Coturnix japonica: one gene and its partners. The protein of the gene in region 3 binds, or shares a complex with, the protein of the main gene of each other region. Links are inferred from orthologs where the notes say so. Each region holds a gene or a part of one and is shown on either strand. Other genes may lie near its edges.

What was found.
Region 1: the proteins of EDN1 (region 3) and EDNRB are in contact, whole or in part, in a cryo-EM structure (PDB 8XWP), measured with the Homo sapiens proteins. The link is inferred for Coturnix japonica from reciprocal best matches to the Homo sapiens genes EDN1 and EDNRB. Residues at the interface, in NP_001403492.1 of Homo sapiens: Cys53, Ser54, Cys55, Ser56, Ser57, Leu58, Glu62, Cys63, Val64, Tyr65, Phe66, Cys67, His68, Leu69, Asp70, Ile71, Ile72, Trp73; in NP_000106.1 of Homo sapiens: Pro88, Pro89, Ile94, Glu95, Ile157, Asn158, Lys161, Glu165, Asp166, Trp167, Val177, Pro178, Gln181, Lys182, Val185, Phe240, Ile243, Met245, Tyr247, Leu252, Ile254, Leu256, Leu257, His258, Pro259, Lys270, Lys273, Leu277, Trp336, Leu339.
Region 2: the proteins of EDN1 (region 3) and EDNRA are in contact, whole or in part, in a cryo-EM structure (PDB 8HCQ), measured with the Homo sapiens proteins. The link is inferred for Coturnix japonica from reciprocal best matches to the Homo sapiens genes EDN1 and EDNRA. Residues at the interface, in NP_001403492.1 of Homo sapiens: Cys53, Ser54, Leu58, Asp60, Lys61, Glu62, Cys63, Val64, Tyr65, Phe66, Cys67, His68, Leu69, Asp70, Ile71, Ile72, Trp73; in NP_001948.1 of Homo sapiens: Tyr68, Gln72, Thr73, Lys74, Tyr129, Asp133, Ile136, Asn137, Lys140, Leu141, Gly144, Arg145, Trp146, Gln165, Lys166, Val169, Glu220, Phe224, Val227, Phe229, Tyr231, His236, Lys237, Thr238, Cys239, Met240, Leu241, Asn242, Gln252, Lys255.

The regions. Positions count from the first base shown.
Region 1 is NC_029516.1:138,029,503-138,032,733, forward strand, and holds part of EDNRB (endothelin receptor type B), read left to right. Parts: intron 1-77; coding exon 78-227; intron 228-1,166; coding exon 1,167-1,300; intron 1,301-1,828; coding exon 1,829-1,937; intron 1,938-3,231. UniProt on the Homo sapiens protein: Non-specific receptor for endothelin 1, 2, and 3. Mediates its action by association with G proteins that activate a phosphatidylinositol-calcium second messenger system.
Region 2 is NC_029519.1:28,053,616-28,057,806, forward strand, and holds the start of EDNRA (endothelin-1 receptor), read left to right. Parts: upstream 1-1,363; 5' UTR 1,364-1,713; intron 1,714-4,191. UniProt on the Homo sapiens protein: Receptor for endothelin-1. Mediates its action by association with G proteins that activate a phosphatidylinositol-calcium second messenger system. The rank order of binding affinities for ET-A is: ET1 > ET2 >> ET3.
Region 3 is NC_029517.1:66,442,850-66,447,137, forward strand, and holds the start of EDN1 (endothelin-1), read left to right. Parts: upstream 1-1,477; 5' UTR 1,478-1,625; coding exon 1,626-1,689; intron 1,690-1,773; coding exon 1,774-1,921; intron 1,922-2,897; coding exon 2,898-3,056; intron 3,057-3,326; coding exon 3,327-3,434; intron 3,435-4,288. UniProt on the Homo sapiens protein: Endothelins are endothelium-derived vasoconstrictor peptides. Probable ligand for G-protein coupled receptors EDNRA and EDNRB which activates PTK2B, BCAR1, BCAR3 and, GTPases RAP1 and RHOA cascade in glomerular mesangial cells.

The DNA of each region.
Region 1 (3,231 bases), on a different chromosome or scaffold from region 3:
TTTTTTATAGTATACTTTTCACAGTTGTCAACAGTTAACTCTTAACAGTGCTTTATTTTTATTTTTCCCTCTTCTAGTTTTACAAGCAAGCTAAAGACTGGTGGCTGTTCAGCTTTTATTTCTGTTTGCCACTGGCTATCACAGCACTTTTCTATACTCTCATGACCTGTGAGATGTTACGAAAGAAAAGCGGGATGCAGATTGCTTTAAATGATCACTTGAAACAGGTAAGAATTTATCCCTGATAACTTTGTTGATTTTACTGCTGTATCGTCTTACTCTTCTATGACAACTCCAGGATTACTACTAAGGAGTACTTCATAGCAGTGGTGCTAATAAACTCGTATGTGTGTCAGAGCTGTTCGAAACCTAAGAAGTTCAGTGATGATCACAAGACACTTGTGCTGTTAATACTCCAGATTTTATAGGCTTTATTTCTTTGCAATAATGAGAGCTGAGTATTTGTTGATTAAAAGTAAGATCATCTCATGACACAGAAGCTGGTTCTGTGGAATTGTTAATTATTGTGAATTAATTTCATGCGAAACTGTAATAAGGTTATCAGTGTATCAGAACAAAACACATCGCAGAATACATTCCAAGTTAGTAGTACACCAGAGGGAAACATCATGTGTCATGAATTGAATTCTGAAGACAGAGAATTAATTTACATTTTTACTGTAAAATATATTTGTGATCCATGCTTTTCTAGTAGCCCTTTATTTTGCATGCTAATTTGCAGTGGTGGTGTAAATAAGCATGATCTTCTTACCTTGATAAAGCTATAATTTCAATCTCTTAGAACCATGAAAGGAAGGACTGAGATCAAAGTGCAAGAAAATGCAGTTGAAAACTAGCTAGCCTTTGAAAGTGATTGAGCTGACGACTCTTCCTCGTTTTGATTTAAAAGACTGTTTTTATGTCAGTGATTTTTCATATCATTACTCATACTTCAGTAAATTAGAGATACAGAGAATTGGTGCAAGACATCTAAAACAACAAAGAACTTTAAGTACATATTCCAAGAAAATAAAGTACTCTGATGTTCTCTTAACTCCTATTTTTATAGGGATTTTATTTTATTAAACATTTGGATATTAGAAGGGAGCAACCATCAAGAGAGACACAGAAACTGTAATGATGTACTTTCCAATTTTCGTTTTCAGAGACGTGAGGTGGCCAAGACTGTGTTCTGCCTGGTACTTGTTTTTGCCTTGTGTTGGCTGCCACTTCATTTGAGCAGAATATTGAAACTCACTATTTATGATCAAAAGGACCCCAATAGATGTGAACTTTTAAGGTGAGGCTACACAAACAAAATACATATGTGCTGCTGGCATTCTCCATAAGGATGTCTGAAGTTTTCTTTCTTATCCAGAACATTATGTTTCACTCCATTAACAGTTGAAATTACGAGGAAGCTTACAAACAGAGGGATTCTTTCTTCTTTGCTTGGTCTTTTCCTGATCGCTTTTGAGACTGTCATTCTGTCTTGTGACATTACGTGGAAGTGGGAGAAATTCCGTCCCGATTTTTCCTTTCAACTGAATAGATAGGATTAAACTTTTGAAGAAAATGTCGGGAATATTTCCTCTCACAAGTTAAAGTGAATGGATCTTTTGAAATTACTTTCAAAAGAATGACCTACTGAATCAAACTTCGTTATTAAGCACAATCATTACCTGCATGAGTTAATCCTATCGACAGAGGCCCTTTTACTATCACATTTAATAGTTCTTCCTTGATGAGTATAGCAGAACACAATCTTTATAACTGTAAACATTTTACGAGAAAATGAGAAGTCTCACTTACTTTAATTTCCACACAGCTTTTTCCTTGTGATGGACTACATTGGCATTAACATGGCCTCTCTGAATTCCTGCATCAATCCAATTGCTCTGTATTTGGTGAGCAAAAGATTCCAAAACTGCTTTAAGGTAAGAGACTGTTGGGAGTTGCACCTCTGGTTAAGAGATGATGTTAGCTGTAAAATTAATTCTCTAACACACACACACAGTGTGTTCACTAAAGTTTACTTTAAATTTCAGTTGGATTACAGTTAAGTATTCTCACCCTCTCCCTCTGAAGCTATGTAGAAAGATATTGAGGATTCGTAGAGTTAAAAAAAAAAAAAAAGCAAAATAGCATAGCATGTAATAAACCCTTCTGGCACCATGCTCATCAGGCTACATCATTTCCTGACTGGTCCTGGCGTGTGGCCACTTTGAGAGTCCTGACAAAGCAGTCTTGGGCTGCTTTGCAGAGATTCATGTAGCCGTATCCTCTGCAACCCAGCAGAGTGAACACACTGACCCTGTGCTCCCCAGAACCTGACTGAGCTCTTGGTTCAGTAGACACATAGGTAACAAAGAGTGTATGAGTATTCCCTTGTCATTTTCAAATGCCAAGGGAAAAGTCTGATGTGCTCGTGGTTTTGTCTTGGTTTGTGTCAATAGCCCTGGGCACTCATTCTCTACACAGGACTTAAGGCTTTGGTTTGCAGCCATTCTCCCTTCAATCCTGCAGCCTTACGGCAGGCCAGATCTACCACATCTACTCAGAAAATGTCCAGATCTGACATCCAGCAGCATCAAACAGAACCAGTGTTCTTTGAGCTTTTTTCAGGCTGCTCATTGTCTTCAGACAATGAGGTTCTTATCAAGATTCTTACACTGCCATGCAGAAATTCTTAGATTTTTCTTTAGTTGCAAAGCACTGCTAGTCCTATTGCCTAGTTATATAAATTCTTCGGTGGCTGTATTTTTCAATCAGATATCAGTCAGCTCTAGTAGTGATCTAGTAGATCCAGTAGTCTACTAGTGATGTGTTATCTACCTCAAACTTATAACACACTGCAAAAGCTTTAAGTGTTGGCCTCATCTTCCCTGTCTACATAGCTGTCACTCTGAAGGAATGACTGGGGCTAAGAACACAAAACAATCAAGGCCCTGACTGTGCAGAGAGGAAAAGCCTGGGACATGCAATTTTCCCTTCCTGTCAGGACCACAGGAGGACTTTGAGAAGCCAGTCAGTCTGTAACACCATCAAGAGGACTGAAGTCCATCTGCTAGAATTTGTGTAGTTGTTCACCATTCTCCTATTTAGTTCTCCTTTTTCCCTCTAAAAATGAACTAAACAAAACTCCATTTAGGAAGCAGAGATTACTCTACATAATTTTTTCACAAGCAAGATTATGAAAGAAGTGGTTTTATTTTTGGATGCATGTAGAAT
Region 2 (4,191 bases), on a different chromosome or scaffold from region 3:
ATAGGACTCAAATGACTGTGGGAAGGGAGAACATCCAAGAGATTCAATAATTGCATTAGAGAAAGCACTCCATAATGTGTGCATGAACTTCAAGTACAGCCTACCTACCACTTCAAGAGGTTTTCCAGCACGTTCTCTTACAGATGATTCTTGACAAAGCACATTGTTAATACTAAGCATCTCTGACCAAACTGTAAAGATTTTTTAAAATAACTTTCACTAATATCACATGGACAATTTAGTGGCTTGTCAGCATTTACTCAGCTTCAAGGCAACATGACATTTTGAATTAAACTTTTATATCTGATTTGATAGCAGTAGGCTTCTTGTTATTCTCAGCCTGAACACTTACGTTCCTTGAAAGATCTTGCACTTTGACATGTTTAACAGAGATGACTTTCTAGAAGAAACGCAGCATTAGTGTTCTAGTTGATGCAGACACCCAGATTTTGTGGGATTTTTGGTTCAAGCTTTATCAAGTGATTTAAGAGAATGTCTACAGAAACGTTCTTTTAACTGTGCAGTACTCATAAAGTTTTAAACAACTTCTTACATGATTTACTACCAGGTATCTTAACTCTGCGGGCCACTAGGCATTGCATTTTTCTATTGTTCTTTTCTTTTTGTTCTGATTTCTCTAGGACCATACATTTTTATATCATATTTAGGAAGACTGCCTCAAAAGTAGAAAATTATTTCTGTGCTAAAGCCAGATGGAAACTTGCCATGAAATTGGGATCTTGAAATGATTCAACAAGGGATTCAACATTTCTTAAACTTATTAGTGTGAAGAGAACTTGAAACTGGTTCAATTTCAGGCTGCACTGCACTCTCTGAAAAGCTGTTCTTTTTTTTCTTCATAGTGAGAGAAGATTGTTAACCATGAGAGAACTTCCCATTTTTCTGTTTTTTGTTCCTCTACCTTGTCAGAAGAGCAGTATTAGGAAATGCACAAATCCCAAAACATCCTACAATTTTATTGTCTTTGTAAAAGAGGTTTTGGTGTTGAAAAATAAAAGGTAATAACAAGGTATGTCCTGGATGGACCACAGAACGTTTCACCCAAGAGCACTTTACAGATCCTGAGTTTTTGAAACTTTTGCACACCCGGTTTTACTGATTGCCTTGCAAACATAATCCTGAGCAAGTCAGGGAAAAATGCAAACAAAAGCTGTGCATTTAATCATATCTTTTTCCCCCAGTCTGGTTGCGGCTCGTAAGTCGTCTGATTCAATCAGACATACAACCTTTGCGTGAACCCAACACGCTATTAGGAGGCAGCTACAGGACTGGATGCATTCCCAAAGGCTGTTGCTTAAATGAGTCCGGTCAAGTAGTTTACCTCCATTTCAGAAAGGAAACAGTTAAAGAGCTCTCAGTGTTCCCCTGTGCCCGGGAGGCAGCCTTTGTGTTTAACGTTGGCAGGGGCTCGGATCGGGCTGCAGGCTTGTTTTAATTGGGGGAGGGGGCAGAACGGAGAGGACGCTCAGCCTTCAGTCCGTCTTTCCGTTACTGATTCAGCGGAGGTGGAGATTTTCTATCCCACCCAGTGAGCGGCGGGCAGAAGGATCTGCCCAGACTATCCCAGGAAAAGATCTCGGAGGAAATCTCGGCAGCGGGGGCAGCCGCAGCATGAGCGCGGAGCCGGGGCCGGCCGCACGGCTGGGCTGAGTGCGCGGAGCCGGCCGCGGGGCGCAGCCCGCAGCGCGCCAGGTAATGGCGGGGCACGGAGCGACTGGAGGGTGGGGTGAGGATGGATCCCCGGTGGTGGTGCGGGTGGAGGGACAGTCTTTTGTGTTAGCGGGAGAACTGCTAACACAGCAGCCCGGCAGCGAGGAGCGCTCGCTGTGCCGCTGGGAGACAACCCAGAGAAACTCACTTTGTCGGCGCTGCTTCTTTCACAGCTTTCGTGCTTTGGTTTATTAGATCTTGTTTCCACCTCAGCCGCCTTTGGGGCACACAAAGTGCTGTTCACGTTCTAGCTCTTCTTTAACACTCGGAACGCTTTCACTTCCAACAGTATGCCCTCATTGCCATTCTAGGCGCGGGGAGCTTCGAGCCCATACCCATATGTCCCCGAGCCCATACTTTGTAACTGAGCACAGGGACAGCACATACACGTGGCCTGCAGGTCTGCCGCACCGCCTCACACCGTGCGGAAGAAGGAAAATACAGTATTGCTGAAAGTTAGTAAGGTTAACTTGTTCTAAGTTGTAACTAGTAAGGTTAACATGTTAACTACATGAGGCAGGTCGCGGGCTGTTGCTATGCACTGTAATAATACACACACTGTGGATTTGTCAGGAATCCACAGGAATATATCGTTAGAAATAATTATAACACAATTTTAATTTTGCTTCTTATGGGTAAGTTTCTGCTGAGAGGGAAGAGGTGGCAACTGGCAGTTTTGTTCCTAGCTTTGCATGCTGCCTGTGTGATTACCGTGCTACCACCATGTCCATATGGCATGTGCATATTAAGTTGTCACAGGGAAGCATCATTAAATAAGGAGTATACTATATTATGACTAAAACTGTGTGTGGGAGCTATAGTCACTATGGATGATGTAAATATTTGCCTGAAAAGAGTTGTGGTAAAAAAAAAGTTGCCTGCTATTTTTGATATGATTTAGAATCCTAAAGCAAAAACACTTCCATCCTGCTGATGTTTGCTGACTGCCCTGCACTATCACTGTAACAGACGTTTAACAAAGAAAGATTTGCTGTTTAGTATATAAAACTTTGAAAGCAAGTGCACAGGTACTCACAGTTGGTCAGCTGGCCATCTCAAATGCACCAAGACAGAAGACTCAATTTGGATTACTGGTCTGTGAGGGATAGGGCTCTACATACCGGGCAGAAATATGCATTAGCATTGCAGAAGCTGCATATAGCCATGCACACACTTTTACAGATCACACAATAAATATTCACAGTGTGGCTGTGTCCAGAGCTTCTATCAGTGAGTTGTCTGCCATGGTTTTTCTGTTGTATATTGTTTTGTTTTATTATAAACTGAGTTAATAGCTCCATAGGGAGTGCAATTAGGATTCATTTAAAGGATCCTCCCAAATCCTTCATGTGAGTCTCTAGAAATCAGAAAGTTATAAATACTTTCTACTCTTCATTTGGCAACACTGACACAAACCACCTAAGGAAACCTCATCCTAAGTTAGATCAAGATTTCAAGGAAATGGATTTTAGAGTGACTTCCTTGGCTTGTACCTCCACAGGAGGTTTCACAGAAGGTTCTATCTGCCCCCTGCAGCAGGAGCCAGCGGCTCTGGAGATACACACAGGCAGTTATACCAGGAAGGAACGCTGTGATGCTTCCTTTCCTATCTGGAAATGTCACGAGTTATCACTTAGAACATTAAACCAAGTATTTTTTTATCTTTGGAAGAGCATAATTTTTTTATAATTAACTTAACCCCTGATAAGGACTGCAACATGAGCTACAGTGACATTATTCAGGAACCAGAGGCTTTTCTTTATCTCAGTACATTGACACAAGCAGTTTTAAGGGCCTTTCCTGGTCAAATGTCCTGAGACTGTGAAAGTCTTCCTCCTAATGTCTTTGGACTTTGGATACAGTGCAAATTTTGATCTTAAATATATGTATTTTCAGTCTTCTGAAATCTGGGTAATTATAAAGTTGGGGGGAAAAAAGCCCATGAAGCCTAATTATTGCAAAATATAAAAAATACTAAAAAAAAAAAAACCAACAAAAACAAATATGGTGCCTATAAGTATTAATACAGCACTGGTACCTCACCTTTTAATTGACAAAATAATAACCTTTAATTTGGTTTAAAATACCCTAGAACAGCTTCCAAGGCCTCCCTTTGATGATATGCTTTTCTTGCGAGACTGTATTTTAAAACAGAGCTTCACCCACCATATTTTGTACCTTCATATACAAATTGTCTCCAACTAAGAGGATTCTGCAGGATCTCATTTGTCTTTGTGTCTTGTTAGAGAATGAACAAATGGGGGCAATCTAGACTTCGGAGTAACACGATGATGATGAACAAGTGTTTACATACTTGTGTTATAGAAAGTGCACAAATACCCTTCTTTCTAAATGAGAAATAGGATGTGTTACCCTACTTGGTGTATTGATGTGTTTCCTTTTTTTTTTTTTTTTTTTTTTTTTTTTTTTTTTTTTTTTTTTTTATTGTTTTTCTCTGCA
Region 3 (4,288 bases):
TGACAGGCCTGGAAAGGCTGTGCCTATTTTATACAGAAATCATCGCTATCCTTCAACCCACATAACTGCATTGCATTTATTTTCTTTCTTAACGCCAAGCAAACGGAACAGAAGAGAACAAAAACCCACCTGATTTCTTTCCCAACTTGCAAATACTGATAAAGTTTATGATTCCAGTTGGCTCAGATTAGTTTTTTATTTGTAGCTAGGTGACCTCTGCTGGTAGATTCTTATCATTACTGTAATAGTTCACACATTCAGGCATGGATACAGTGATATCCCACCGGGTAAGCACTGCTCTGTGTGGACAAGATGATATGATACATAAGCACATACAATTCCAGCTCTGAAAAAGCAGACTTCAAAGGTGTAAGCAACCATATAGCTCAGATTCCTCCACTCACAGAAGCTTTAGAGAGCAGCTTTTATTGAGCTGCGTACAAGCGTTTCAGCTGAGGATTTGGCTTAACATTTAAGTTTATTCAACATCATGATAGAAATGCCAGGTATTACTCAGAAGGCCCCAAAATTTCATCCCCGGAGGTTATGGCAAAGGGAGGACTCGTCTCCACTTGCGTTCCTTTCTTGCTCTCGTCCCACGTGCCAACAGCCTCTGCTGGAGAAAGCTCAGCAGCAACGCAGACTTTCTTCTGACTCAGCACAGCTCCGTCCGCTACGATACAGCGGCTCAGAACAACACCATAACCGACAAAAAAACCACGGGCATTCACCTGGGGTAAAACAATACGACTCTCAGCTCGCAGCCTGGCTCTTTGTGATACCCAAGGTCACTCCTATTCTTGCAGCACAGTGCGAGGAAATACCACGAATACCGAGAGGGCCTTATCTGTTTATCAGAGGTGGAACTGGCACGCTCTCCGGGGCTGCAGCTCCGCGCAGGAGCTCGAGCAGCTCCTCAGAGCCTGGGTTTGGAGCCCAGGTTTGGAGCCCTCACGGTGCTCGGCGTGTGCGTTCACCGTGACATTGCACCGACGAGGAGGCAGCGGGTGTGAAGGTGTTGAAAAAGCCGCATCCCGGCGGCGTGCACCAAAGCTTCGCCCCCTCCTGACCCACATCCCCGCTGTTAGGCGCACAGACCCCAGACAGCGCGATATCACAGCTGTGCCACAGCTGGATCCGAGGGACATCCCCGCGGCTACAGCACACGTTGGGGCGGGGCGGCTCTTGTGCTCAGGTGTGAGATGTGAGATGCAGGGCAGCCGTGCGCCCTCTGCAGCCCCTGTCCCGTCCCGGTTCCCCCCTCAGTCCCCCCCCCCGCCGCCCGCGGCCGGCGCTCTGAAGTTAGCAAGCGATTTCCTCCCCGGGCCGGCCTTATCTCGGGCCGCACGTTGCCGCGCGGTGACTAATAGCGGCACAACATTGTCTCGGGATAAAATAGCGCCGGGGCTGTTTACCCGCTCCATGGGGGTTCGCTATAAAAGGGCGTCGGGGACCGCCGCGCCAGCCAGACGCGCCGTGCCGCCCCGAGCCGCCGCCTGCCCCCGCGCCCCGCCGCCAGCGGGAGCCAGCGCCCAGCCGGCCACGGGAGAAGCCTCGTCCCTCCTCCTCTCCCTCTCCTCGTCTCTCTCTTAAACCCGTCTCTCCACCCGCTCCCGTCGTCCGCTATGGATTGCAGCCGCCTGCTCCTCCCGCTGCTCGTCGCGCTGTGCCCGGCGCTGCTGCCGGCAGGTAGGTGCCCTAACCTCGCACGGGGGACCGGGGCCGGGCGGTGGGACCGAGCCGGGTGCTGAGCCACTACCGCTCCCTCCGCAGCTCCCGGAGCCGAAATGAGCGCAGCATCCCCGCCGCCCCCCGCAGCCGCTTCGCACCGTCGCGCCCGGCGATGCTCCTGTTCGTCGCTGCTGGACGAGGAGTGCGTGTACTACTGCCACCTCGACATCATCTGGATCAACACCCCCGAGTGAGTGCCCCGCTGGGATGGGGCAGAGAGGGGTGGCGATGGTGTTGGGATGGGGGTTTGGGAACGCGACAGAAAGGGGAAAGCGATACTTCTGTGCCACGGGCTCTCCTGGTTCTGCATCCCACCTGCTGCTTTCCTGCTGAGTTCAGCAGTGAGCCGGTTCGCTAGGAGAACAAAGAGGGGATCTGAGAACACAGGCTAAGCAAAGCAATCCTCCCCAATGCACCTGTGCTCCCCAGAGCTCTGGGTGCTGCTCTCTAGAAGGTGCAGGATGCTCCTCGCAGCCTACGGAGTGGTTCTGCCTGCCTTTGCGTGAGCATTTTCTCTGGCTGAAAACTTGCTTGTACACGAGGTGGCCCCTCACTATCTCCTGCAGCACTTTGCTGCAGAGCAGTGCGCTCACAGCGTTAGGAACTGTGTTGTCTTCTGTCATCTCCAGGCTGGATGTGGCTCTGGGCAGCCTGGTCTAATGATTGGTGACCTTGTACATTGCAGTAGCAGGGGAGCTGAAACTAGATTATCTCTGTGGACCTTTTCAACCCAGGCCGTTCTGTGATCTCCCCCCCCTCCCCACCAAACAAAAACTGAGGAGCCAGACCCTCTGCAGTGCTGGCTTTGGTGATCTGCACTACCACAATGAGTGGAGAGGATCTGTGTTTTTATTGCTTCTTTCAGCATTGGCAGTTACCAAAGTTCAAAGAGATGAGGCTTTATTGCTTTCTATCACACAGGGAGGGATGGCAGCCTTATGAAATCACAATTAGAAGGTTGTTAGCTGTGCTAGTAGCCACTCTAATTACTATGTTGCAGGATCATCAGAAGTATTTGCATGGGAATTATGACCAACAAGGCATATCCCAATTCCACAACCTTTACTCATGCAATCAATCCCATTGATAAGATTGCCCAATATACCCTGCTGTTCCAAACACACAGAATTATTGAATTGACTTTCATGTTGTTTCTTTGATCATAGGAAGACTGTTCCCTATGGTCTTGGAGGCCCTTCTCGGTCCAGAAGATCTCTGAAGGACATAATGCCTGAGATGCTTGTTGGAGCCAGCAACAGATGCCGATGTGCCAGCCAAAGAGACAAGAAATGTCTGAACTTCTGCCAGACGGGAAAAGATCTCTGGTGCGTCTATTGTTACGACTCTTTAAAAGGCAGCGTGTGTGAATAGGGCTGGACTGTGGTAGACTTACTCATTTTGGCACTTGCTGAGTGAATAATCTCCCCAGAGCCTTGCCTCCTACCTTGGCGCTCACGGTGCTATGATGCACTCTATGGTTTGGCCCAGAAAGGTTGCTTATTGCATGCCTTGAGGATCGGTTGGTGAGACACCTCACCTTGTGGACCGCAGACTTGTTTTTTGTTCTAACAGCAGCGCCTTTTCCCTTTTAACAGGGCTCAGTCCACAGCAGAGAAAACCTCACATCGCCACAACAAAGCTGGTGGTTGCATTGGACCTAAATGCGTGAACCAACAGTTTGTTGACAGCAGGAAAATGAAGAGGTGAGTTTTTTCTCATCCTGCTGTTGTTCCCCAGGGTAGCACTGTAGGGTGCATAGTTCTCCCCCATTTGGGTCAACACAGGCTTAGCTGTTGATTGCAGATGGAGAGTTTTCTGGGGGATCAGTGAGAGTCTTTTCAGGGCTTTGTTTGTGCATTGGATTCTTTGCTTTAAAGATAAGAGTACCAGGCTCTGCTTGGTGTTACCCATCTGCTTAGAGGGAGCAAACTCATATTTAAGACAACTATAACATAATTAAATTATGGAAGAAATAATAGAACTTGATATTGTAGTATGTTCAGATGTTATCTCAATTGCTTAAAAATATGTCCTGACTATTCTATTAGGAAATGGAGTCTGGTTGCCTTTTCTTAGATACTTTCCTCCATTCTACTGGGTTTAGAAGGTCTATCAGGATGTTCAGTAGGACAAGGAGAAATGGTGATAGGACAAGGGGGAATGGTTTCAAACTAAAAGATGGGAGATTTAGGTTGGGTATGAGAGAAAAGATTTTCACACTAAGAGTGGTGAGACTTGGGAACAGGTTGTCCAGAGAGATAATGGATGCCCCGTCCGTGGAGACATTCAAGGTCAAAATGGACAGGTCTCTGAGGCCTCTGTAGGTGTCCCTCTTGTGGAGAGTTGGACTGGATGACCTCTAAGGGTCCCTTCCAACTCAAACCATTCTATAATTCATTATATCTGTTGTTCTGGCTGGTGTGGCTGGCTTTCTAGAATGCAGGAGGCAAGTTTCTGCCTGCTGTGTCATTTGTGTTGTCTGATTAAATGTATGCACCATGAGTACAGGATTCTAGTAATAGAAATGACAGCAAAAAGGCTGCGGAAAGGGAAGATG